Drosophila melanogaster: one gene and its partners. The protein of the gene in region 1 interacts with the protein of each later gene in a pairwise test. Each region holds a gene or a part of one and is shown in the gene's direction. Other genes may lie near its edges. The genes, in order: Ran, CG17122 and CG34453.

What was found.
Region 2: the proteins of Ran (region 1) and CG17122 interact in a two-hybrid assay, tested with the Drosophila melanogaster proteins (one large-scale study listed by BioGRID).
Region 3: the proteins of Ran (region 1) and CG34453 interact in a two-hybrid assay, tested with the Drosophila melanogaster proteins (one large-scale study listed by BioGRID).

What each region holds. Positions count from the first base shown.
Region 1 is NC_004354.4:11,142,493-11,152,503, reverse strand, and holds Ran (Ran), read left to right. Parts: upstream 1-3,923; 5' UTR 3,924-4,018; intron 4,019-5,907; exon of another isoform or gene 5,908-6,088; 5' UTR 6,089-6,126; coding exon 6,127-6,561; intron 6,562-6,639; coding exon 6,640-6,855; 3' UTR 6,856-7,652; downstream 7,653-10,011. Other genes in the region: Lint-1 (l(3)mbt interacting protein 1), read right to left, coding at 124-266, 377-1,868, 2,544-2,579, 2,653-2,790; CG15201 (uncharacterized protein), read right to left, coding at 7,809-7,890, 8,022-8,184, 8,255-8,351; CG15202 (uncharacterized protein), read right to left, coding at 9,125-9,245, 9,310-9,442, 9,731-9,824.
Region 2 is NT_037436.4:20,271,367-20,279,405, reverse strand, and holds CG17122 (uncharacterized protein), read left to right. Parts: upstream 1-4,070; 5' UTR 4,071-4,151; coding exon 4,152-5,948; 3' UTR 5,949-6,017; downstream 6,018-8,039. Other genes in the region: gogo (golden goal), read left to right, coding at 536-1,753, 2,092-2,222, 6,189-6,419, 7,602-7,890, 7,956-8,039.
Region 3 is NT_037436.4:230,205-237,054, reverse strand, and holds CG34453 (uncharacterized protein), read left to right. Parts: upstream 1-3,703; coding exon 3,704-3,732; intron 3,733-3,790; coding exon 3,791-3,930; intron 3,931-3,982; coding exon 3,983-4,207; intron 4,208-4,264; coding exon 4,265-4,398; 3' UTR 4,399-4,575; downstream 4,576-6,850. Other genes in the region: E(bx) (enhancer of bithorax), read left to right, coding at 300-501, 554-916, 981-1,476, 1,541-1,645, 1,710-2,073, 2,403-2,487, 2,551-2,756; CG34454 (uncharacterized protein), read left to right, coding at 4,753-5,095, 5,163-5,221; CG42846 (uncharacterized protein), read left to right, coding at 5,466-5,499, 5,570-6,039.

The sequences.
Region 1 (10,011 bases):
GTAATAATAAATTTTAATATAAAAACACGAACTCAGCATACCAACTAGGGTTGATTCAAATATATACAATCCTTTATGCAAGAATGAGAAACATTTAACATCAATGGCTCACTTGGCAACGCACTACTTCTCCAACTTATCTTTTTCGCGCAAGCATGGGGGGCAGCGAGAGTTCTGCAGCTGCATCAGCTGGCGATTTTTGGTGAACTCGTGGCAGTCCATGTGGTATAATCCGCTGCACAAGTGGCAGTACATCGCTTCGGTTTCTGGGAAAAAAAAAACAAGCAAAACAATAAAATATTAATAAAATCATTAAATGGGTAATACGAATTTAAGAAAACCAACTCAACAAGTTTGTGGTTGGTGGATGACTCACCCACACGACGTTTGCATTCACGGCACTCGCGGCATTTGCGGCACTTGGAGGCACCGCCGTCTTTATGCTGACAGGCTGATGAAGACGCAGTTCCCGATGCGCCAGATCCTCCTCCTGCGCTGCTCTTCTCCGAAATCTCGTCCGGCGACTTGCTCTTGCGTGTGTACGTCCTCTTCGAGTTGGCCTGCAAACGTTTTTCCGTCGGCGAGAGCAGGAATTCGGACTTCTCCTTGGTCTTCTTCTGACCACGAACGCCCATGACTAACGCGTCCACGGCATTCAACTGCTGGCCATAGTGAAAATCCACTCCGCTGGCATTCTGAACGGTGCGACGCTTGCGCTTCGAGTGGCGCTGACTGAGCTTCTTGAGCACCTCCGGCGAGTAGAGCTCAAAGAGGCCGAGGAACGTCTCCTGGCCGTACTCCTCCGGCTGGGTGCGGCTCTCGCGCGGCTCATCGCGCCACTGGGCGGCGGATGCGACGCGTCTTTGCTGCTCCTGCTGCAGCTCGGCACTGGAATCATCGGAGCTGCCGGATGACGATACCGCTGGCTGCGACTGTCCACTGGATGTGGGCGTTGGCGAGGATTTCCTGCACGTGTTTTTGCTCTTCGCGGTATTATTCTTCGCCATCCCCTGACTAGACATTTGTGGGATGGTCTTCTTGGCTGCCTGATTGGCGGCAGCATTCGTTGGCTCCAGCGATGGCGGTGTCCCCTTGCCATCGCTGGTTCTGTTCTTGTTGCGATCGTTCTGCAAACTGGTGATCTCCAGGTCCTCCTCGTCGTCGAACAAACGTGGCTGCTGCTTCGTCTTTCTGGCCCTTCTCAATGCCTGCTGCAAGTTCTTGCGACTCTGGGCCACAACGTGAAAGTTTACTGGTGGAGATTCTGCTTGTGGTGATGGAGGTACTTGTGACAACTCAGCCACTACGGTTTGGGTTATAGGCGCCAAGGGCGGCGGTGAGCTGCGGCTGATATTCTCTCGCTTGGCCGGGGTCGAATCCAGCGACCCTTTCATCAGCTTCGACTTCGATTGTGGCGGCGGCGGTGGCACTGATACTGTCGCCTCATCGCCTTGGAGCCACTCTGGCTCCGGCTTAACGGCGGCGATCTGCTGACCCAATCCCCTAACCGGCGGAGCCAGCATCAATGGTATATTCTCATCCAATTCGCTGAGCTTAAGCGGCGGCATACCAGAATCATCGTCCTGGCTCAGCAGGAAGTGCTTGCGAATAAGCATCTCCTCGGTATCACGAGCCATCACCGACTGTGGCATAATCTTATAGTTGGGATCGACGATCAAAGGCACTACCTGGGCGGAAACGTACTCATGGGCGATGTCCGGCAGGAACATGATGTTGTTCTCCTTCAGCTTCACGGAGAATTCCTGTAGGCTATCGTTGAGGCGTAGCAGAAGGAACTGCTGCTCGGCATTGATCTCGTACACCTCCTCCTCCAGTTCGTCCAAGATGCGACGCATCTGCACTGGATCCTAATGACGACAAGAACGTGAGTGTCACATTAGGTGTGGCTGGGATTGTTAGGTGGAAGCTGCACAGGTGCTAATGGCCATTAAAAACGCTAATGACCACAAGCACTGAGCAAAAAAGGGAATACATTTCAATCACAAATGAGGTTGAGATTGATGGATAAGGATGCACGTTGGAAAAATATTGAAATAAAGCGGCATTAAAGAATATGCGCATTAATGCTGTTAAGAAATCAGCAATATTTGCTCATATAGATGATGGATTTCGTCATATACATAATTCTCATATGTCTTCTTTTCAAAAAAAAGTGAAAGTAATTTCGAAAAAATTCAGAGATGCGAACGTGGTTCCTTTGGAAATGAAAACATTTGACCCAATTTTTGTGCATTATTAGTTTTGCTTAAAACGCAGTTGCCTCTTTCATGTTTCTAACCCAACTCTAGAAAATTATCGCGAGTACATCAGTTTCTTTGAAATGAAAAAACTAAACTAAGTACTACGTTTCATAGCTTCATCTACATACAGTTCTTTGTTTTGGTTTTTTTTTTGGTTGTGTGTAGTGGGAGGGGGGTTGGGTGGTGTTCTACGGGCGAACACCTTCACCCTGGGGAATCGGGAATTCTCGTGGCGTAGAGAACAAAGGACAAAGACTTGCAGTCTTCTGGCATTAAACCCACCGCATCCGCCTGCTCATCGAAGACCTCCGAGACCAACTGCGTAAGTGAGAGAACAGAGACAAAGGAAACAAATTAACTGGTGTTCGCCAAGGAGCCATGGTGCACTTACCGCGTGAACCTTGAGGAAATCGCGCAGCGATCGCTGGCAGTAGATGATGTCGTTCTTCAGCTCCAGCGGCAGCACGTAGTACTTCTCCATGTAGTACCTGAACTTGGCGTACTTGCGCTCCTTATGGTACTTGCTCATCTTGTTCCGATTATATTGACGCTATATATATAACGACGGTTATCGTACGAATCACGCACGCGACTGATTTCGGATGCGTTGCAATTGATGCACTTGTGGGAATTTTGGGCAAATTTTCGAAAGGGAGTGGGGTGGGAATTGAAACCGAATGTGGTTAGAAAATGTGATAGATTGATCACTACATTCGTAACTGATATCTGGCCGAGGAACTTCGCAATTTAAGATAAAAATGTGTTGCATCAACTGGTGGCGTTGCCAGATAGATGAATACATGTGCTCGTTCTCGTAGCGAATTTTTAATCTTAATATGCGTTTAATTATGAATTTGGAGAAATAAGGACGATGTGCGTCAATAACTTCGATGACGGAACGGTGGAATTTTTGAACATGGGGAAGTTTTTTAAAAATTAATTTTTCGTTATTTAGTGTTCCAAAATGCACGCAAGACCATCAAATTAGCGTCGATGAGTTAGAGTCGATGGCGGAACGGTGAAATTTTTGAACATTGGAAAGTTTTTTATTATTTTTTTTTTTTTTATGGGTCAAAATATGAACAAGCCTATACAAAAAAGTACCCATGAAAGTCATTTATGTTTGGTGTTGTTGACAGAGCGTGTTCCGGAATGCCGTGCTTATAGGCTTATGTAGGCCTAATTAAGTAATGATCCTTAAAAAATTCATCAAAAATTTATCTACAGTTTTGCAGAAAATCGTCTACAAGTGGAAGGAGTTTAAATGCCACCTTCTCCAGTACTACAGCCAATAAATATCATGAACCGCCCTATTAACGATAAGAGTTCTCCGCTGACTTTATTTTATTATTATTTATTTTATTACATTGCACTATTATTTATATTTATTATTTAACTCAGCTCACAGAGCGTATTCCGTCGTACGGCATCTCAAAAGTTTCGTAATTTTATTTATTATTTATTCAAAAAGTTTCATTACAATTTGATAGACAGTTTTTTTTTTTGTTACTACACGTGTTCTGTATATCTACTAAGCCATATATTTAATATATTATATTAAATAATTGCAAATGGTGTGGATGGTATATAAGTAAGCGCCAGAATTTGGAACCTCTCTATGCTCGCACGGTCACACTGGCCGATAACGAAAACATCGAGGCAACAGCTATACTTCATTTATCACTCAAATCTGGCAGCACTGCATTGTGTTTCGGCAAAAAAGAAAGTTGTGGTTTTCTAGGAATTTCGAGCAAAATGTAAGTAGAACTACAAAATGGGCTTTAAATTGTGTGCAAATTCGCTGCCAGCCTGGCTAATTCGCCACCGTGATGTGAATAAGTGCTGTGCGGCATGACGCCAGTGACGCCCCAAATTCGCATGCAATATGGACGACGGCGTCGCTTCGCCTGGAATTGTGTGCTTTATTCCCGACCCAGCGGCTTTTGCTGTCTGTCCACCCGGCCACCGCCCACCCGGCTTCCGGCCACCAAGTCCAGCCGGTTAACAAGCCCGATTGCCGGCTAGAGTTGTACAAAACAAGTGGCGTATAGAGCTTCCAGAGATTTCGCTGACAAAAAAAAAAGAAAAACGACGTGGTGCCGCCTCGTGCTGTTATCCCTCCTTTTCCGGCTCATGGCAAGCTCTGCAGTGGAAAAGCGCCGTCCAATTGGGACTGTCAGCTCCTCCGTACGCCACACCGAAGCAGGACAAATGTCCTTGTCCTTTGGCCATCGGAACATTCTCGCCGACTGCCATGCCATTCGCATTTTGTGAGGTTAAACATGAATCGCAAAAAAAAAAAAACGGCAATGAATTTGCTTCATGTTTCTTCTGCCGGCGGCGACGTCGGCGTCGTCGTCTGTCTGCGTCTGTTCGTCGTCCGTGTGCGTGTGCATGTGTGGGTGCGTATGTGTGTTAGAATTCGATTTGTTATTTAGAATATATAAATGCGATTGGCGATTTTCACGTGAATCGCGACTGCTGCGCTGTTCGCCAGCCAGCAAATGAGCTAAGAAAACGCTGCACTATTTGTATGTCGGCATTTTTATTTTTTGGCGCGCTTCGCAGCGTCCACAGGTTCTCACCAATACGAGTGCATGCGTGCGTGTGTGTGCTTGTAATTTGCCGGCGTTACAGGCGGCACTCAAAATAAGGAATTTTCCTGCTTTTATGGGCAGCACCAGTGGTGTGATGCGCAGGAATTTCACAATCTTGCCATCCTTAAAAAGTTACTCATTTCAGTCTCCAAAAGGAATGAGTCATCAAATGCCTTTTTCAGCGTTTTACGAAATATATCCATTCAAATTATTCACCTCATTTCAAATTGATGAAACTGATCTTGATTCATGCTGAAAATATGGTCATCTTTATTGATGAACTTGGTAGTTTGCTTTAATTCTTTTAAAAAGTACTTCTATTTGCTATATGGCCATTTCATTCAAAACCTATATTTACCAATATTTCTTCTCTATAACTTCTTAAATTTGTATATATCTTTGATTACAGTTCGCAGTAAATCATAAACAAATGTTATGCTATATACAGTACAAACACAATAACGCGATCAAGTTTCTTTAGTATGAAAATTTTGTTTACACTGCGCTTTTCTTCGAATGTTTTGAATGTCTCCAATTCTACGCTTAATATTCCGAAACTTATGCCAAGCGTTTATGCGCGCTAATTATTTGCGAACAGAAATGTCAGCATTTATTATTCACTTTGGTTTCCTATGCTCGGGTTTAAATTAGTATTACCCAGGTCAATTGTGGGTCAGAGCCGCCGTGGGTTTTCCGGGTCTCCTTTTGTGTGGCAAACTGTTTTGGGCTGCGCATAAACGTGGTGGGAATGTATGTGTGCGAGTATGCAGAGTATATCCTTCCGCCTCCCTGCCGCCTTCTTGTTGTTGTTGTTGTTTGGTGCGCCTGGCATTTCTGCTTACCTGCACACACAGCCAGCCATACCCTGTGGCCATCTCGCTCTGGCTCGGCATCTCGGCCTTCTTATCCTTGCGGGCTCAGCGGGAGCGGCAGCTGCAGTGTCCTTTGTCGTTATCCTGCTCGCTCCTCGCCGAACAGCTGGTCGCCGTCCTTGGCGGGCTTTGACGCATCCATTGTGCACGTCACATTTTGGACGGCTCGCAGGACGGGCAGTCAGTCGCCTGGCGCTCGCCGAACCAACAACATCCTAGCCAACACATTCCGCTCCTGTTCCTGTTCCTGCTCAAGCTCCGCTATATATATATATATTTAAATATATAAAGTAGCATAGTAGTTGCAAGTTGCTAACCAGCCAAACGCAATTGTTCCATCTGCAGCTCACCGTTCCAGAAATTTTGCATTAACGAAGATACCGAGTGCTTAGAAGGATGGCTCAGGAAGGTCAGGATATACCCACATTCAAGTGCGTGCTAGTCGGCGATGGCGGCACCGGCAAGACCACCTTTGTCAAGCGGCACATGACCGGTGAGTTCGAGAAGAAGTACGTGGCCACACTGGGCGTGGAGGTGCATCCATTGATCTTCCATACCAATCGTGGCGCCATCCGTTTCAATGTGTGGGATACCGCTGGCCAGGAGAAGTTCGGCGGGCTGCGCGATGGCTACTACATTCAGGGCCAGTGTGCCGTCATCATGTTCGATGTTACCTCGCGTGTCACGTACAAGAACGTGCCCAACTGGCATCGCGATCTAGTCCGCGTCTGCGAGAACATACCAATCGTCCTCTGTGGCAACAAAGTCGATATCAAGGATCGCAAGGTGAAAGCGAAGAGCATCGTCTTCCACCGAAAGAAGAACTTGCAGGTAAATAAAGAAAAGCTGAACTTTTATTTGAAATTTTGTTAACGTTATTGTGCTTGTGCCTTCTTTTTTGTCAAACAGTATTACGATATTTCTGCCAAATCGAACTACAACTTCGAGAAACCATTCCTTTGGCTGGCGCGCAAGCTGGTTGGTGATCCCAACCTGGAGTTTGTCGCCATGCCAGCCCTGCTGCCGCCCGAGGTTAAGATGGATAAGGATTGGCAGGCGCAGATCGAGCGTGACTTGCAGGAGGCCCAGGCGACCGCACTGCCCGACGAGGACGAGGAGCTATAAGCCTATTTGTAGTTAACTTAGAGCGAAATCCGACTTGCGCGAAAACACAAACACACACACACTCAAACACAAAACCACAACACACAACACCACACCGAACATAGAACACTGAATCACAGGCACCGTATGAAAAGGCGTGGCAAGAGGGAATGAAGGATTACGGATTAGAGGAAGTAGCATTAGCAGTAGTGTACTATCCGTACACTATTGGATTTGCCAGCCTATGTTCTTCGATCGATCGTTGGGAAAATCTACAAACAAGCCCTTCTTAATACGTCGATTGTATTTAAATTTTAGATCCCCAATTCATTAATAAGTCGGTTATAATTGATTTTTTTTTTGTTTGTTTCCTTATACGTTGGCTCTTGGAAAAAAAGGAGTAAGTAAGTAGTATTGTCATTAAAGTGCTAAAGCAGCAGGCAACAGCAACTTAATCGAAAACCAAGAGAAATAAATAGTCGCAGAACGTATTTTTTTAAAACTTGCAACACCAATGTTCTTTTCCACCCAAAAAAAAAAAGGAAGAAAAAACCAAGTTACTTCAACAAAAGTGTGAATGTTAGAAACGAGCGAGACGGCATGCTCGGAGCGAGCGAGAGCGCAATAGCTGGCCAATGAACTGAGTCCCCCCAAAGGAAAATTAATACTATTGAAAAAAGAAAAGAAAGGAAAACACTGGAAACTATGAGAAAATAACCTATAGACAGGCCGCCGAATTCGCATCCACATGTTATTAATCTAAGAACTAAAGAAATAAAAAATAAACGTCGAAGAAAAAAAAACTAAACGAACGGAGCTGGATTTGCATTTGAAAGATGATAAGGAAATGATGCTAGATTATAGTTATCGCATACCCTGTAATTGAATGGGTAGCACATATATTCCGTTAGCTAATCGTCTACTGTTTACATTTCTACATTTGAATACACTGTTCTTAATGAAACTCCTCGGATTTAGGGACACTTGAGGCAGCAGGCAGGGAAAACTCCGGTGAAGCGATCCTTGTTGCCGCAGGTGACCTTCTGCTGTCCACAGCTGAAAAAAAGATATTGTAGATGGCTTGGTTAGAATCATGTGGAGATCGGGGCAAAGTTCAGCTAGGAAATATTTTGTTTTCTTCATGCAACCTAAGTTGCTAATTAAGATCGCTGTCATGATGCACTTACTCCTCCACGATGGTCTTGAAGGTGTCCGTGCAGATGGCCCGCTTGAGGCACTTGCCATCCTTGCCGAAGTCCACGTAGTCCTGTCCGCGTCTCAGCAGCGGCAGATACTTGAGAAAGATGGTCTCATCCTCCGAGTTGCGGTAGGAGCACACGGGTTCGCTGGCTACGTACAAGATACATATGATTACATATGACATATGGAACAGTAGTAGGAGATCCCATGGCCAGCTTACCCGCATCGACGGTAGGCAGCAGTGCCTGCGGAAGCAGGAGCGCCAGCAGCAGCAGGACGGCCGCCAGCAGCCAAATGGATCCGCAACGGTTGTGCATCTTTGGAGCGCGGTGACGAGACTGAACCGAGAGCTGGCCCAGCCCGTTGCCTATTTATAGGTTGCCCAAAAGAGCCACTTGGAGCGCGGCTCGTTTGCGAATCAGCCAGTCAGTAGTCAGTGGTGATTTGCATTTTCAGCTGCTTGATTGAGTGGGATTCCGCGAGCACTTGCTAATTGCTTAATTGCCAGGGAGGCGGACTGATCAGATGCGTAGTTTCCACAGAGAGTGTGCTCTTCCAGATCGTACAAAGGTGTCCAAATGGATCATCGTCTCAAAGGGAACAAAATTAAATTAAAAATTAATCATTGCCGTTTACTAACATTCCGTTTTGAATTTTGAGCACAAATCCCAAAAATATCCGCATAAAATGCAAGAACATACAAAAGTTTAGTTTAAAGCAAGATCATTAAATTTATTATAAATTATTTCTATTTTATATTTATTATATTGACTTTACTTTTCCACAGTGTTTTTGTGCGTTTCTAGGCTGATTTTAAAGCAACAAATTTTGTGGAGAACCTACTTGAATTACAATGAACTTATCATTTGGCTGAAAATATATACAATGAATTTCATTCTTTGGGTTTTTGTTAGAATAGATACATATATATTTCCGGCAAGAATATCAAAAACATAGAACAATAAACCTATCAACATAAATACGCAATGAACTTACAAGTAATATTTAACAAACATTGTGCCAAAATAAAAATGTACAATACTAGGAAGTATGTTTTTCTATAATAATACTTAGCAGCCAGGAGTCTAAGCTAGATGTAGTTGCTCTCGGACTCCTGGCACACCAGCTTGGGACAGCATTCCGGAAAGGTGCGTCGCATATCCGAGGCGATCCTGCACTTCTCCGTGGGCACCAAATTATGGCGACCGCAACTGAAGTAAACGTAAGTAAATATGCATTAAAAATATATATTCATAATAAGTGTTTTTAACTTACTAGCTAATTTCGAGGACATAGTCTGGTCTGCAGTAGATGGACTGGCAGTAGCCCTCGCGATTGATGGGCTTGTAGGACTGTTTCTTGGGTATGGCCTGGTTGAGCTCCTCGTAGTAGCACTGGCCAGGATAGTCTGGAAACATAAAGCACATAAACGATCATTATCTGGTTGGAACTATAGTACTATATCCCTTTGATTGATATGATATTACTACAGTATCTAAGAGACATTATAGATACTATAGTATCTGGTAGTCATTATAGATACTATAGCATCTGTATATCTGGAATCTATAATATATTCCTTTGATTCATATGAATTTGTTCATATGATATCATTTTCTAGTATCTAGTTTTCACTACAGTATCTAACTACTATCTAGATAGTATAGTATGAATACAGTATCCATTTCTTAATGACCTGGATGCACTGCATTTCCGCGGTAGGTAAGATCCGCCCGAGCGGCTCCACAGATGCCCAGGAGCACCAGGAGACAGGCGACTCCGGCTCGCATAGTCGCCGAATGAGCGGAGGAGCTGGAGGAGGAGGAGGAGGTGATGGTGGTTTTTTTCTTTCGGGGGGATAAGCTAAGAGGCAACACCACGATTGCTCGAAATCCAAATCCGACTTGGCTGTTGAGCGCTGCCCGTGCGACTGAGTCAATTACAATTAATTGTTGTTGCTTTTATATAAAATTAATA
Region 2 (8,039 bases), on another chromosome or scaffold:
CTTTATGTCCTTGTAAATATATTTAGGAACACAACTATTTCACAAAATGCACAAGAGCTTAAGGATCAATTGCATTAATATTTGAATATTTTTTTGTAATATAATATAATTAAAAAATCTTGCAATATCTAGGATATTAGGTATATATTTTGTATATTCCGTTTAAAATAGAGATCAGTAGAGTTGAGTCTTTATCTATCCACAACAAAAAAAGAGAAAGACATCAAACTTCGTGGCTGTGGATGGAGTTTTCCTTCTATGTTTTTGTTTTGTTTGCATAATTTGTACCCGGGGGAGTTGCTGGATGCGAATGCGACTCAATTTACACGACCTGGGTGGAGTGAACAATGGCCGAGGCTCTTCAATGGGTCCAAACAGAAGGCAGCCACACGAAACAAATTACAAGGATTTATAATTCTTATCTCTCCGCTTTGCTTTTCTCTCTCTCTTGTTTCATGTGGTGACTCCTTGGAAATTGCCGGCATTGTGTACTCCTGCTACTGCAATTTGGATTCGGATGCGGTTTCGACAAAAGGTCACGTGCTGGCGGTGCGAAAGGGTCGTCTGATGTCCCCCAGCACATTCACCGCCCTCAGCGGGGACCTGCATGTGCAGATCCAGTTCAATGGGAACGAGATGTCTTCGCAGGCGGAGGAGGAGCACACCATCGGTGGTGGCCCGTCCAACGAGGAGCCCTTGAGCTCCAGTGACGGGCTGAAGAGCAGGAACAACACCATAATGAGCACTTTAGTCATTAGCAAAATCATTGATGAAGTGGAGTCACCGCTGGAAAAGGGTTTGACTCCGGGCCCCGAGGTAACCAATACCAGCCAGGTGGTGCTGCATCGCAAGCGCAAGGAGGTGGTGCAGAATATACCGCTCTTCCCGGATCCCCGATTCAATGTCACCCAGGTGACGGTGCCATGCCAGACCTTCCTGATCGGAGGACGCTACGAGATGCAGGTGGTGAGCAATCTCAAGTCGGTTAACCGGAGTGAGGTGACCACCACATTGGTGCCCGCGCAGGATGAGCGACTCCACCAGACGCTCGATGTGCGATGGCCCAGTGCCGAGATGATAGTGAGTCCGGTGCGCCTGAAGACCTATCCCAAGCATCCTGTGGAGGTGACCCTCCGCTTTCCCGAGGTCAACTGCAATCAGTCGGGCAGTCTGGCATTGCCGGAATTTTGGTTGGAGCTAATTTACTGCGGCAAGGATCGCAGCTGCAATCGGAATATAACCCCAACTAGTGTCCTTTTTGCGGAGCAAATACGCGGATTCCCCAAAAACAAGAGCCTCCATCTGGGATGCGAACTATTTGGACTAGCGGGAAACTATGCAGTCCAACTGAGACCGATGATTCCCGCCCAGAACGTGCCCACCACCCGGCGGCTACTGAGCGTCGATTGGAGCGACGAATTCGTGTTCAACGTGTATGCCCGCAGCATATTTCCCTGTGATCCGCACACGGGAATCGGTGTCCTGTACGAGTATCCTGGCTGCATTCTCGAGCAGGGCGACCGGGTGCGTCTTTATGCTAGGCTGCGGGCCGATGTCGCCTCCCTGAAGCCACCCACGTCGCTCCACTATGTCTCCGAGCAGCGGGTCGTCAAGAGCCAGCATTCCCTGTACTTTGCCTGCGAGCACTTCTCCGAGAAGTACGTAGAGTACTGCTTCGTCTACGTCAGCCAGGCAATTTCCGGAGCCGTAGCCGATGTCCGGATGGACTGTGTGCCCACCCTGCCCGTCAGCGGTGAGTGGTCGATGGTGCATTAACGCCGTTTTTAACTCCATTAAAAGGAAAATCCCAATTAAGCTGGAGTTCAAATAGTTCTTAACACATTATTGCGTGTGCTCGCTACACTGAAAAAAATACCCTTTTAATTACTATTTCGCATTAATTTTTAAAAAAGCATAACTTCAAATTTTTTCACATTATTTAAATTTTAATCAAGCCCTAAAGCATTACAAAGGCATTTTTGAAATACATAACCCTCAAATAGTTTCATTTTCCCGCCCCATTATATTATATATTTAAGCACGCTGTATAAGTTTTGAAGTGATTAGCTCATGACACCACTCTTTCCGCAGACTCGGATACCGGTGGCTGGGGACCTTGGAGCGAGTGGACGCCCTGCTCCACAAATTGCTTGGGAGGAACGCGCAATCGCTACCGCTTCTGTGACTCACCACCCCCGCGATATGGGGCCAAATTCTGTGAGGTATGTAAGCCCAAATAACTCGCCAGATTAACCTCTGAACGACCTCTGCCTCCCCACCTGATTTGACAACGTTAACAGCCAAAGTTTGATTGAGTGCTCCCAGAAATGATTAATACTTTGGCGCATCTGAGCCATCAAGACGATTTCAATAAGTGCGGAACTACAACTAAAGACAGGCGAACTTCGCCCGACTCTGGGGACTTCGTTACCCAAGAGATTGCTTCCAGCTTAGTTCACACATTACACTCGACTTTCCTACACTGAGCGAATTCTAAACACTTTATATTAACTAAAAACTCTCAGCTTAGAACATATAAATGAGGGCATAGCCAAACTCAGCTAAAACTCAAATACAAGCTCAAACATTTTCATTAGTGACGAAACAAATACATTTTTTTATATTCCCAAAAGTAAAACGGATAAAATCTTGAAATTGAAAGGCAACTGAGTAATTCCTTGCAGTGTAGCCCGCCGGGGCAAAGTGGAACTATTTCATTGTTTTTGTTTGTGGGCCATGCCGTGGAGTGGACTGGCAGCCGGAGTGGGTGGCTTCGGCACGGTATGTTATGTTGTCTGCAAGCGTGTTTCCACACTGCGACACTTGCTCCAGATTGCGTGGGGAATTTACGACGCTTCCGACAATTGTCGGCCTACTGCGCCACGCTTTATCTTGTTTCTTTTGTTGAAGCGAGTGGAAGAATGAACCTCCGCCTCCGTCACTATCTGTTCCCGCACTGCCACCATCCACGTCCTCATCCGCGCATTTCATTATCCAAAAACTTCCGGCATCAGGATCCAGCGATAGGGGCACATTTGCCCGTACTTTGCCAACTTGTTCGGAACAATTACAGGCAAAGTTTTTAAATGCTCCGCACACTTATTGCAAGTAGTTCTTACACGGGAGTCGCGGACGCCACGGATGCTGGAACAATGGATTCGCCGTGAGGCGACTACAATTGCGTGGGCGGCTGTGTCCATGGGCCGGCTGCTGGAGGAGCACCCGGTCGGTGGGTGCCACACCCACACCCACTTGCCTCGACAATTTGCATTTGCCCCCAAAAGAAACGCCCGGAGGCGTTGCCGCCCATGTGCGTGTACAAATATTGCCCCACGGGCTATTAATCAAACAAAGCTCCCACACGGCAGGCACTATTTGCTTTTAGAAAACACGGGGAATAACCTTTTGTGACCACAGAAGCACCACAAACTCAAATTAGTGGCTTTCTAGTGGCGCTTTAAGCATTTTAAGGCAGTAAAATGTTTACCATATTCATGATTTAGGCAGAAAAACACATTTAAATTAAATTTAAATAGAATTTAACCAAAATTGTTAGTCATTCTGGGGAGAAAAATTTATAAAATGGAGCTTAAAGTTATATATCTATTTGTAAGGGGATAGCTAAAATACCTCTGAAAAAAAACTGATATTTTTAATGGTTTTTATAGAATATATTTGTCCAGTTTGGTTTATTTAAGGTAATGCTGTGGTTGAACTAAAAAATGATTCTTGTTCGCTGAGTTTCACTCTTTTCCCAAAAAAGCCACATCTGTAATGATATTCAGGTTCGCTTCCGAAAACAATTGGAAATAATAGTACATGTGTATACATATAACAAATGGATTCACTTTAAACTCTTTAGGTCCTTGGAAAATGCTTTACTAAATTAATAGTCGAGTTCCTTCCAGAAAATAAAGCTTTATGGTCAAACAGTAAAGGATATGGGTTCAGCTTTGAAAAGCTTTAATTTCCTTGACAACGGTTCATCAACTAGTTGTTATAACAGAGCTCATTTTAATTAAACAAAGAACGATGGGTGTGCAAATTCATACTTATAAACAATGTCACTGGCGTTTTGTAATTCTTAAAATATCAAACACTCGTCAAAATTCGTAGACAGTCAATTCTGATAACGAACAGCAGCCTCAAAAATGCCGCCGAAAGTGAAGAAGGAGAAGAAGGATGTGAACAAGGTGACCCAGGTGGACAGAACCTTCTACGAGCTGACCATCACGGATCTCAACCAGAAACTAGCTCGACTGCGATCCCACGTGACCACCGTCGATGAGTCCAACATCACGCTGACCGAGAAACTCAAGGAAGTGGAGGCCGATGGCGTCGACGTGGCCGCTCACTTGGAACGCACCCTGGCGGAGAGGAATAACTCGATCACCGAACTGGAGGAGCGCCTGGTAGAGATCACCAAGGTGCGGGATGTGGAGAACCGCGTGGCACAGGAGAAGATCGGCGACTTGGAGTCGAAATACAAGGCCATGCACGACCAGTTGACCTCCGAAATAAAGCTGCTTAATGGCAAGCTGAATTCCCTCGACGAGTTCCGCATCCAGAGGGATGTCCTGTTGGCCAAGTTCGATGAGCAGGAGGCGGATCTCAATGAGCGCGAGAAGGATCACAAGGAGGCGCTCTATAATATGGAACAACGAGCTGTGGTGGAGAAGGATGCGCTAAAAAAGGAGGTCGAACAGAAGCTGCTGCAAGTTTCCGAGGACTTCACCCGGTCCAGTGAGATCCGCAACGCTGGCTACACCCGCCGCCTGATTCGTGAGAACATAGCCCTGCAAAAGGAGATCGATCTACTGGTCATGTCCCAGATAAAACTGCAGCAGGCATATACCAACCAGAAGTCCAAGCACAAGGAGATGGAGGAGCAGTACAGTGCCCTCGATCAAATCAAAAACGAGCTGGTCCGCAACTCCGTGAACAAGATCAAAATCATTGAGGGTCTGACCAGGAACTACGAGAAACTGAAAGCCAAGTACGTGGAGGTACTGCGCTACAAGAAGGCCTATGAATCCCTTCTCCAAGCTGAAAAGTGCGAGAATGTCAAGCAAAAGGATGCGGCCGGAAAACTCCGGACCCTGGCCAAGCGAATGGAGATTTTGGATCTGGACAATCGAAATCTGGAGGTGGTCCATGCCCAGCACGAGATCGAGATTACTCGACTGCGTGGAGTCATTCAAGAGATCAAGTGCACTGTGCGGGATGCGATTGTGGCGGAGCAGGCAGCCAAGAAATTCCCGGAGAGATTAGTCGAGGCCAATGTGGATGATCCCGCAATGATAAATGAAGTTCGGGAGGAGGCCATATCCCTTTGCAAGCTGAAACGCAGCGATTTGCTCTCCCAGCTTATGAGCATCGTGAGCTCCCATTCGGAGGAGCTTCCGAAGACTCCATCGATTGCCTCCATTGTCAGTGCCACCTCATCGCTGTATGCTCCAGGTAAAATGGGCTTCATGCCCACGAGACCCAAAGCAACGCCATTCGACGCCTTCCGCAGCGAGGTCATCGAACAGGAGCCGGATCGCACCGTTCCGGAGGATCTGCAAAAGCAGAAGATGCAGGATCGGCTAATGACCTCGTTGCGAGGTGACGAGAATACCATAATCGATGTGGAATTCGGCACTACTCTATACGTTTCATCATCGCGCGAGGACGATCTCATTGAGGTGGAGGAGGAGCCACTGGAGGAGCCAGAGGGTTCCACCAGCTCCATGTCTGTGAAGAAGGCCAGCAGTGAGGGTTCAGTGGCTCCGCCCGAAACCGTACCGCTAGCCGTTTCCGCATCCTCGAAGGACATCAAGGGTGCTCCCAGCATTGGGGCTCTGGACACACTGACGGCCACATCCAAAATGACGGGTGTTACCAACGAGGACGAGGGCGAGGAGGAAGGCGAGGAGGAGGACTTCGATGTGCAGTTCGTCTACTAGAGGGATATGAAAATTGAGTTTACTTGTAGTTCCAATTTTGTTGAGTCTTGAATAAATATGTGCAAAGTCAAAAACGTGTTATTCTTTCGTTTAAATTCTTTAAATGTTTCATTAACATAGAAAGACTTCATGATAATTTCCATAGCTCATACACCTCTGCAGTTCGATTCGTCACTACTTTCTTTTCTTTTGAGCGCTTTTTTAAACTCTTAATAATATAATTTACATATGTATTTACAGGGTCCTTCGGTTGAGACCCAAAAGTGTGGCAAAAGCATCGCCGACACGTGGGACTGCATTTACGAGACTTCGGGTACAGTCATCACCAAGGAAAATAGCACCGAGGTGAGCCAGGAAATTGGACCAGGATGTCGTTGCGGCTGCATTGTACATCTGGGCTCTTCGAAGCCCAAAAGGATCATTGCTGGAGCCACACAGAGCTGTCCTGGCCGCTCATTCTGGCTAATACAGGTACAGACTATTAACCAATTCCATAACAACCTCTCAACTTACCAAAAAAATATAAAAAAAAAAATAGTAGAAAATAGGGAAAGTTAAGTGACGCTGCCCTTTGGCATTTGGTCAAGTTTTGAAAGCTTTCAAGTTGTCTGCCGCCATAACTATAAAAACGAACAATGCCAAACACTCAGATGTCCAAGTCCATGAATAAAATTCCGCTACGCTTCGCAGGCTGCCCCAAAATGACAAAGAAGCCCCCACTCAATGCTCCATGCCACAGGGCAGTGGTGCTCCGATCTGGACGCACATCGCTGGCCAAAGGGGGCTGAACTCAATTCATGCATAATAAATGCCCCACTTGGTAGGCGTTTTGGCCAGTCCCCAAACTATCAATGCGTAAGGGGTCCAATGGGGGTGAGCTGAACTTAATGTACTCGGTATTCTCGGTAGGAAGGGGTATGCTCAACGCTATCTTGGGAAAAGAACATCCATTGTCTTTTAGTAGGTTAAAAATTGCATGGAAATAAATTGTTGGAAAAAAGGCAAGAAAAGTGAAAGAAAAAAATTAACAAACAATTATTGGATACAAGCAGATTTATTGCTGGAAAAAATAATATTGAAGAGATTTTTAGAATAGAAAGAATCTCGGGTAGAAAAATGATTATTGACTCCGAGCTATACTATCGAATACTAGGAAACAAAGTAGATAGGAGGATATAAATAAATATTATAATGAAGAGGAAATAAATACCATATATATATTCGTATATAAATATACGAATAGAAAAAATTAAAAATTTAACTTTAAAAAATTATGAATGTATTGCAAATGTTTTTACATTTTGCTTGATACAACACCCTCTTGACATTCCACCAGATGTTGGGACCCATAAAGAGGCCTGAAGTCCAGTATATATATATATATTCAATGGGTATCAGATGAAAGGACTATCGACTTTTCCATCCATACACACTTTGACTCAGGCCCTTTTTTGTTCGATACAATTGGAATGATTAGACCTGCCAATTGACACGTTCGAGGGATGAGGGGAATGTGCCAATGGGCAGGAGGCTTAATGGTGATGAATGCCTGACCCACTTCGGCAGCATCCGCTTGCCCCATGCCCGGGAATGTGGGGAAACCCCAAGCCAATTGCCCGTATGTTCACGAACACAAAATTCCTTTTCTCGCAGGTGGATGGTGAGGAAAGCATTTCACTGGCACTGAGTTTCCTCCGCTTGCCTTGTGCCACCCAGTACATAAAGGTGCGCGATGGACCGTCGCTTTCGTCCACCCTTCTCGTGGAACTCAATGGCGGTGGACTGATCCTCAAGGGAGCCGGCGTTCCGGTGGTCGTCGATTCCACTGGTGGCCAACTCCTGGTGGAGTTCTCTGCCGGCGATGGACCGGCGGGCAATGCCACTCAGGAGGCAAGTCCAGCCTGCACCGGGGGATTCATGGCCAATGTGCAGCAGCGGTTGGGTGAGTAAAACTTCGATAAATATTCAACGAATTTAATAATTTAATTTAATTTAAATGTTCAACAGCTACAAGGAGCAGTAACAGTAGTATCACACTTGTGGCCGCCACTCGTTTGTCTGGAAAAACTCGCTCTGTTGTCCACAAGTCCA
Region 3 (6,850 bases), on another chromosome or scaffold:
AGTGCCATATACCTTAAAATCAAATTCATGCTTCCACTGCTTAAAAACTTTTAACCATGCCATAATGTCACGTGTCAACAACTTCAACTCCTAACCACGTGTTAATCTCTTCGACAACTACAACAACTTCAATAAAACACATTAAAAGGTTGCCTGGAGTAAATTCTACAACTGATCTCTGATTAAAGTCAGGTAGGTGTGTTCCTAAATTTTGTTCTTTGCGCTCTTAGTATTTGTTCATATTAACGCAATCAAATTCTCAAATTTTGAAAATAACTTACGTTTTTGGAAACGATTAGGTTGGTGGCGGCGTATCAATAGCTTATACTCGTATGATGAATTCGAATTATTTTGTGCAAGAAATTGAAGAAGAAGAAGATTATGATGATGAGATTATTGTCGTCTGCAGTCCGCCGAATCAAATTGTACCTTCACCTCCCCGTGAAGTATTCGAAGGTAGAATTTTAAGAAGTGAATTGCCGTGCCGCACCAACAATAATTGTAAGCCAATTTTGCAAGCAAAAAAAATTAAAAATTTATAATCTAGTTCTAGTTGAAGATCAAGACAATATTGAGCAGCATCGCCTAAAATATGAAAGTGAAGACCTTAAACGATGTTCATTGCAGACCAACAACATCGAAATCGACGCCGATACGCTAGCAACAACTTACGAAGCCAATTCAACTATTAAAGATATTGCTATTAATAATGGCGATGATCAGGAAAACAGTAAATGTGCAGAAACAGAAAATTCTAATATTACAACTAATGAGTCCTTTGCCGGTACATCTTCCCTATTAGAGGGTTCAGAACATGATGAACCAACTAACCTTGCCGGCCTCGATATATCAGAAACAGACTTAGAAAATAAACAAAACGAAAGCTTCGTTGTTACCAGAGGATACATACAGAAGTGTAAGTGTTAAAAAATGAATAAAAATACAAATGTGTTTGAAATAATAAGTGCCATGATTTTCAGCTATTTCAAATGCTCTGAAACAAGGTAATTTAAGTCCGGAACTTGAAGAAAAACTTGTTTGTATGCAGAAGCAACAAGAAAATGCGAATTCGACGAATGAGTGGGAAACATGCTCAAGGGGCAGTGTGAATGAGGAAGCACTAACTCCCAGTCGCCAAACTGATGACACTGAATGGAAAATTCGTACTTCCTTAAGACGCCCAAATGCTATGACAACAAGCAGCCAATTTAATCGAATTTTAAAAAAAAATCGGAGCAAGAATGACGAAGTCGCTGAACTTGGAGAGCAAAAGCAATCGCAATTGGAACGTCATAAAGAATTGCTTAAAAAAAATATTTTGCGCAAGCGTTCCTTATTAGAGCGTAATTTACAAAGCGAAATACACGAAGATGTAAAAACTAAAGTCCAAAGACATGTACGCCCCTTAAGTAACGCTTCACCGGATGAACAAAGCGAAAATGAGAGAAGTGGCGAACCAAATTTAGATTTTAAACGGTACGTATACTCATGCACTTGTGTGCAATATGATATATCTAATAATACCTAAATCAAATCGTAGGACAGAGGTGCAGAACCCCAGACATGGCGCAGGCCGACCAAAAAAGTTGACAAGAAAAAAGGAAAAGTTGTATTGCATTTGCCGTACTCCATATGATGACACAAAGTAATGCAGAAATGCATATTCTTAACGCGCTTTTAATTAATATATTGTAATTGTGTCTATGTAGGTTTTACGTGGGGTGCGACTTGTGCAGCAATTGGTTCCATGGGGATTGTGTCAGTATTACCGAGGAAGCTTCTAAAAAACTATCGGAGTTCATTTGCATTGATTGCAAGAGGGCGAGAGAAACGCAACAGCTTTACTGTAGCTGTCGTCAACCATACGACGAGTCACAATTTTATATATGCTGTGATAAATGCCAGGATTGGTTTCATGGCCGTTGCGTTGGAATACTTCAGAGCGAAGCAGAGTTTATTGATGAATATGTTTGCCCTGAATGCCAACGCAAAAACGATGCTAACGCTGCAAATATGAAGAAACTGACTTCAAATGACGTTGAAGAGCTGAAAAACTTAATTAAGCAGATGCAGGTAATAACCTGAAATTCATAATAATTTTTATTTATTATTAGGGACCTTAATTAAATAAAATTTAATTTTGTGGGAATCGTTATTCTGTGTTAGATAAACGAACAAATCGTTTATATATTGATGGCATCAAACATGTTAAAATACGGTAATGTTTGTAAAATTGTTGAAAAAATATTACAAAGTAACGAACAGAACGAAAGTATTATAAGTTCAAGACCAAGTGAATCAAATATCCAATTCGTTCATTCGTTTCACATTCATTTCTGGCTAACGAAAAACTCTCAACTGTAGCACATCAAAAATGGAATAAATATTAAATTTCCCTACAGTTACACAAAAGTGCTTGGCCATTTATGGAACCGGTTGATCCGAAGGAAGCACCCGATTATTACAAAGTGATTAAAGAGCCAATGGGTATGTAACACAAAAAATAAATTTATTCGAAAATAAATAAAATGGGGATATTTTTTTCTATAGATCTCAAACGGATGGAAATTAAACTCGAATCAAACACCTATACCAAACTATCTGAGTTTATAGGCGATATGACAAAAATTTTTGACAACTGCCGTTACTATAACCCAAAAGAATCATCCTTTTATAAGTGTGCTGAAGCACTAGAGTCATACTTTGTGCAAAAAATTAAAAATTTTCGCGAAAATGTTTTTGACCAAAGAACATAAGAAATAATAGCCCTTGAAAACTTTAGAACAAATGATTATAGTTTATAAAGACACTTCTAACAATTTGAAAAACGTCCTTCAGTTATGTATTCTTATTTTGAATCAAATGTTATATAAACATATATTATCAATAAAAACACATATAATTAATTATAATAAATTATGTACATATTGACCATATTTAGTAACGTACACCAGTATGCAATAAATTTCATATTCACCAGACATTTGTAAGATTAAAAATAATTAAGTAAAACCCCCTTTGTACAAAACATTAAAGTGTAAATAAACAGCATGCATTTCATTTGATATCCTTATCATATGCTGTAGGTTTAAACTTAGGCGTATGTAACTTGTAAAAATACAAGCTTATAATAAATGTTCAGCATATTTTGAAAATAACTTGCATTTATTTAGTCTTTGGTTTGTTTACTGCTCATTGGACTTTTAAATTCACACCTACTCAGCAAAAACAAAAATATACCTTAAATAGCTTATTAATATTATTAGACGGATTCTTTGCACTAAAATAACAACAAAATCCTCATTTGTTGATCTGCATTGAAATTTTTGTAGGCCCTTGCATAGGGTATATTTTGTAACAGTCCGAAATTTGCTTCGCAATGAAGGTACCCTTTATGATCACAAACTATATTCCTATATTCTTGATCAATATCAGCAGACGATGCGACATAACAAAGCCCGTCCGTCAGTTTCTACGCAATCCAGTCTCTCAGTTTTAAAGCAGTTATACATGGAACTTTCCCAAAAGTCTTCTTTCGGTTGCAAATGTCACTATATAACGTAGTCGTTACTAGACTGTCCAGAAGTTGTTTATTCTACGAGTAATGGGTATAAAAATACTAATTAACTGGTTGCCATGGCGAGCGTGCGCAGAAAACGGGTTTATTAAACAAAATTATTGACTAGTTAAACATAATAAAACGATGGAACCTGCTAAAGTGATTGGAAAGCTGTAAGAGTTCAGCACATCTTATTAAAATATGAATAGCAGATATTATTAACAATTTTAGAAAGGAGCAAGTGCGCATGGAGCACAATTCGCGTCGTAGTTTTCCAAAAGCTTGGAGCGAAATTTCGGGCAAGCAAACTAACAAGTTCTACCACCAATCTGAGATTAATTCTCAACTAAGTAACCAGCTAAAATTAAAAGGTATATTTACATAGAGGTTTATAATTGTGCACTCACATACTCTACCCTATAGACCTGTGCCCTTTTGTGCACAACAACCAAGGCGAATCGCGATTCGTATCTCCGGAGATGTACAAACCTTTACTGGCCGTCTGTCGCTGTGGGCGAACTAAGGAAAGCATCCATATGGGAAAATGCTTACAAAGAGCCTTGAGTCCAGATTACAAGCAAGAAATGGTACAGAATGGCACTGATGCATGGAGTGCAGAACCATTTAATGTGCCTTCCACTTCAAGCTGTAAGTAGTGCACCTACATTTAATTGTATGGGTACAACAATATAAAGAGATTTTCAGCTACCATTGGCTTCGCAGCTATTTCGAAAAACTACCAAAAGCTGGAGCGTTCTATGCAATATGTTTCTCCTGCGTTTTCCATGCCTGGCCCTCGAATTACAGCAGTCCCTTACTATAATATTATTATTGGATAAGTCATCACGAATTTTAAAGTTTCTTGTTGGTCATTTCCAACCCATATTTTTGATGAATCAAATCTGGGATTTCCCTAGATTATTGCAAATATAAGCACATGATAATAAACTTAAAATTGATAGCGGGCATCGTACAGAACTGGATTTTCCAGACGATTGACTGCTTTAGAAACCTGTATTCAGTGGCGTTCCCATATCTTATTTACTACTTTGTATTTTGATTCACTGAATTAAAACTTTCCAGTATATGTGAAGTTCCTTATGCTTAGTGCAGCTGATTCTTGTGTTGGTTCAGTTTCCCTCGATCAGCGAACGAAAGCACATACGACTATAAGCTTCAGGATTCAGTTAAAGATGTGCATCAATTGGCATCCAATATTTATTTTTGCTTGTTTAAGTCAGTTGGGCGCAGCCCAAGAACCTTTAATTTTCGAAACATCTCGTAGCCCATGGAACAATGCCGCCGCAACGACGTCAATACCAATTTCGCCCACCAGCGCAAACTTAGTTTTGGTTAACAATGTAAGAATACCAGGAGGTCTTACACCATTTGTACCAGCACCGGCCCCAACCAAGGAATTTCTGAACTGCTTTGGTAACTGTCCCACCACATCGCAATACAATCCCATTTGCGGCAGCAATATGCAGCTTTATATGAACGAGGAAAAATTTAATTGTGCTCGTTTCTGTGGAGCTGGTGAGTCCATTATATCCATTATATTATTATTTTTTAATCGAAAATATACTTCACTATTCGTTTTTAGACATTCAAATAGTTCGAAGAGGTTCTTGTGAGGGTCTTTTTGCGATGACGCGAGGTTGATATGCAACAACCAGCTATTTAATGTAATAGATTAATATACTCCAACTAAGATATTTTCAGTTTAAATATTATTATGGCACAGAGATAAGACGCCACGCAGTACATAACAACGCAAAATAATATAAATAAAATAAATACATACTAATGCAAAACAATCAAGATAACCTTGACGCACTTGTAGAAAATTTCGAAATGGATTCCCAAGACAGTTCCGTTCTGAATTTCAGAGAGAATACTTGCAAACATGGAGGCGATTTATCAATTGGTCGTAATCTTAGGTACATTATATACATAAATATATTTTATTCTGTGTGAAAGCTCCTTCTAAAATATCCGTTTTCTACTCAGCTATTATTTTTGGGCATCTGCAGTTCCAGTCCACGGTGTTAGCTGACCCTGCTTTTCGTCGCCCAAATGCCATCGCGCCCGCCCGCACCTATAGCGGTGTATACAACCACTCGACGATTCACAGAGCTGTCGAAAAGTCCAATTTGACTGCCCCGGCGGTTCACCAACCTGTCCTCCAGGCACCCGGATTTATAATACCATATCAGAACCGTTCGTTGGTTCACGCCAATCAGGGATCTCATGGCGTTTTACCAGGTAGCGTTCCAGCGCAAGATTCAGGTCCTTCCAGCGTCTGGGTGGCCAGTAATAATCACCAACCAGGAGTAACTGGCGTTCTTCAACCAAACCCATCCCAAGGTAAAATCGTAAATCCACCATTTGTCATTGGCAAAAATAATGGATCGTTTTATTCAACCTATAATGCAACAGTCCCTGGCAGGACTTATCCTTATGGAAACCTTTCCATTTGAGCAATTATAAAATTTTACCAAAACCCAATAAACCAAATTAAGATTAGCATTCTTTTCAAAAATCAATTTATTGTGATCTTAAATCGTTTCATGTATTAGAATCATCGGCATAAGTATTGGGGTTGCTTTCCGGTATTCCAGAAGTGTAAATAAATGTATATTCAATGAAGATTTTCCATATAAGGGATAATCAGGGATGCGTATTTTTGGAGGCGTGATTACGCTGATCACGCCACCTAAGTATATCAGCTTTGAACTATCAATAAATGGAGTGACACGCATGTATATGGAATGCGATGGCTGACCAATTGCCGAAAAATTAAACCGAGGATCCCTCGCCGCCGTCAGAAATTCCCGCGCTGCAGTCCTAAACTCCCACGCTGCCGTCAAAAAAGGTCCCACGCCGCCGTCCAATCTTATAAGAATCCCGCGCCGCTGTCCAGAACCTCGATCCCTCGCTGCAGTCCCGATCTCCGTCTCCCACGCCGCAGTCATCTCCATTGATGTAAATTCCAGTAGTCTTAAGAATATGGTTCCTAGCGCCCTGGCCTAAACGCCCTAATAATCCCGCGTTGCAAAAACTTGATATCCCTCGCCGCAGTCTGAACTATCCGTACGTCCGCCGCCGTCGTCTTTGAGAGCCGAAAATCCCACGCCGCTGTCCAAATTTACTCCTAGGCCGCTGTCGATGGTTAAATTAGACTGAATCCCACGCCGCAGTCCAAGTTAGAGAATCATTCTTCAACAAATCTAATATCCTCACGAAGGGTCCTCACAAAGAAAAAGAATCGACCAGTGTGTAGCGAAGCGA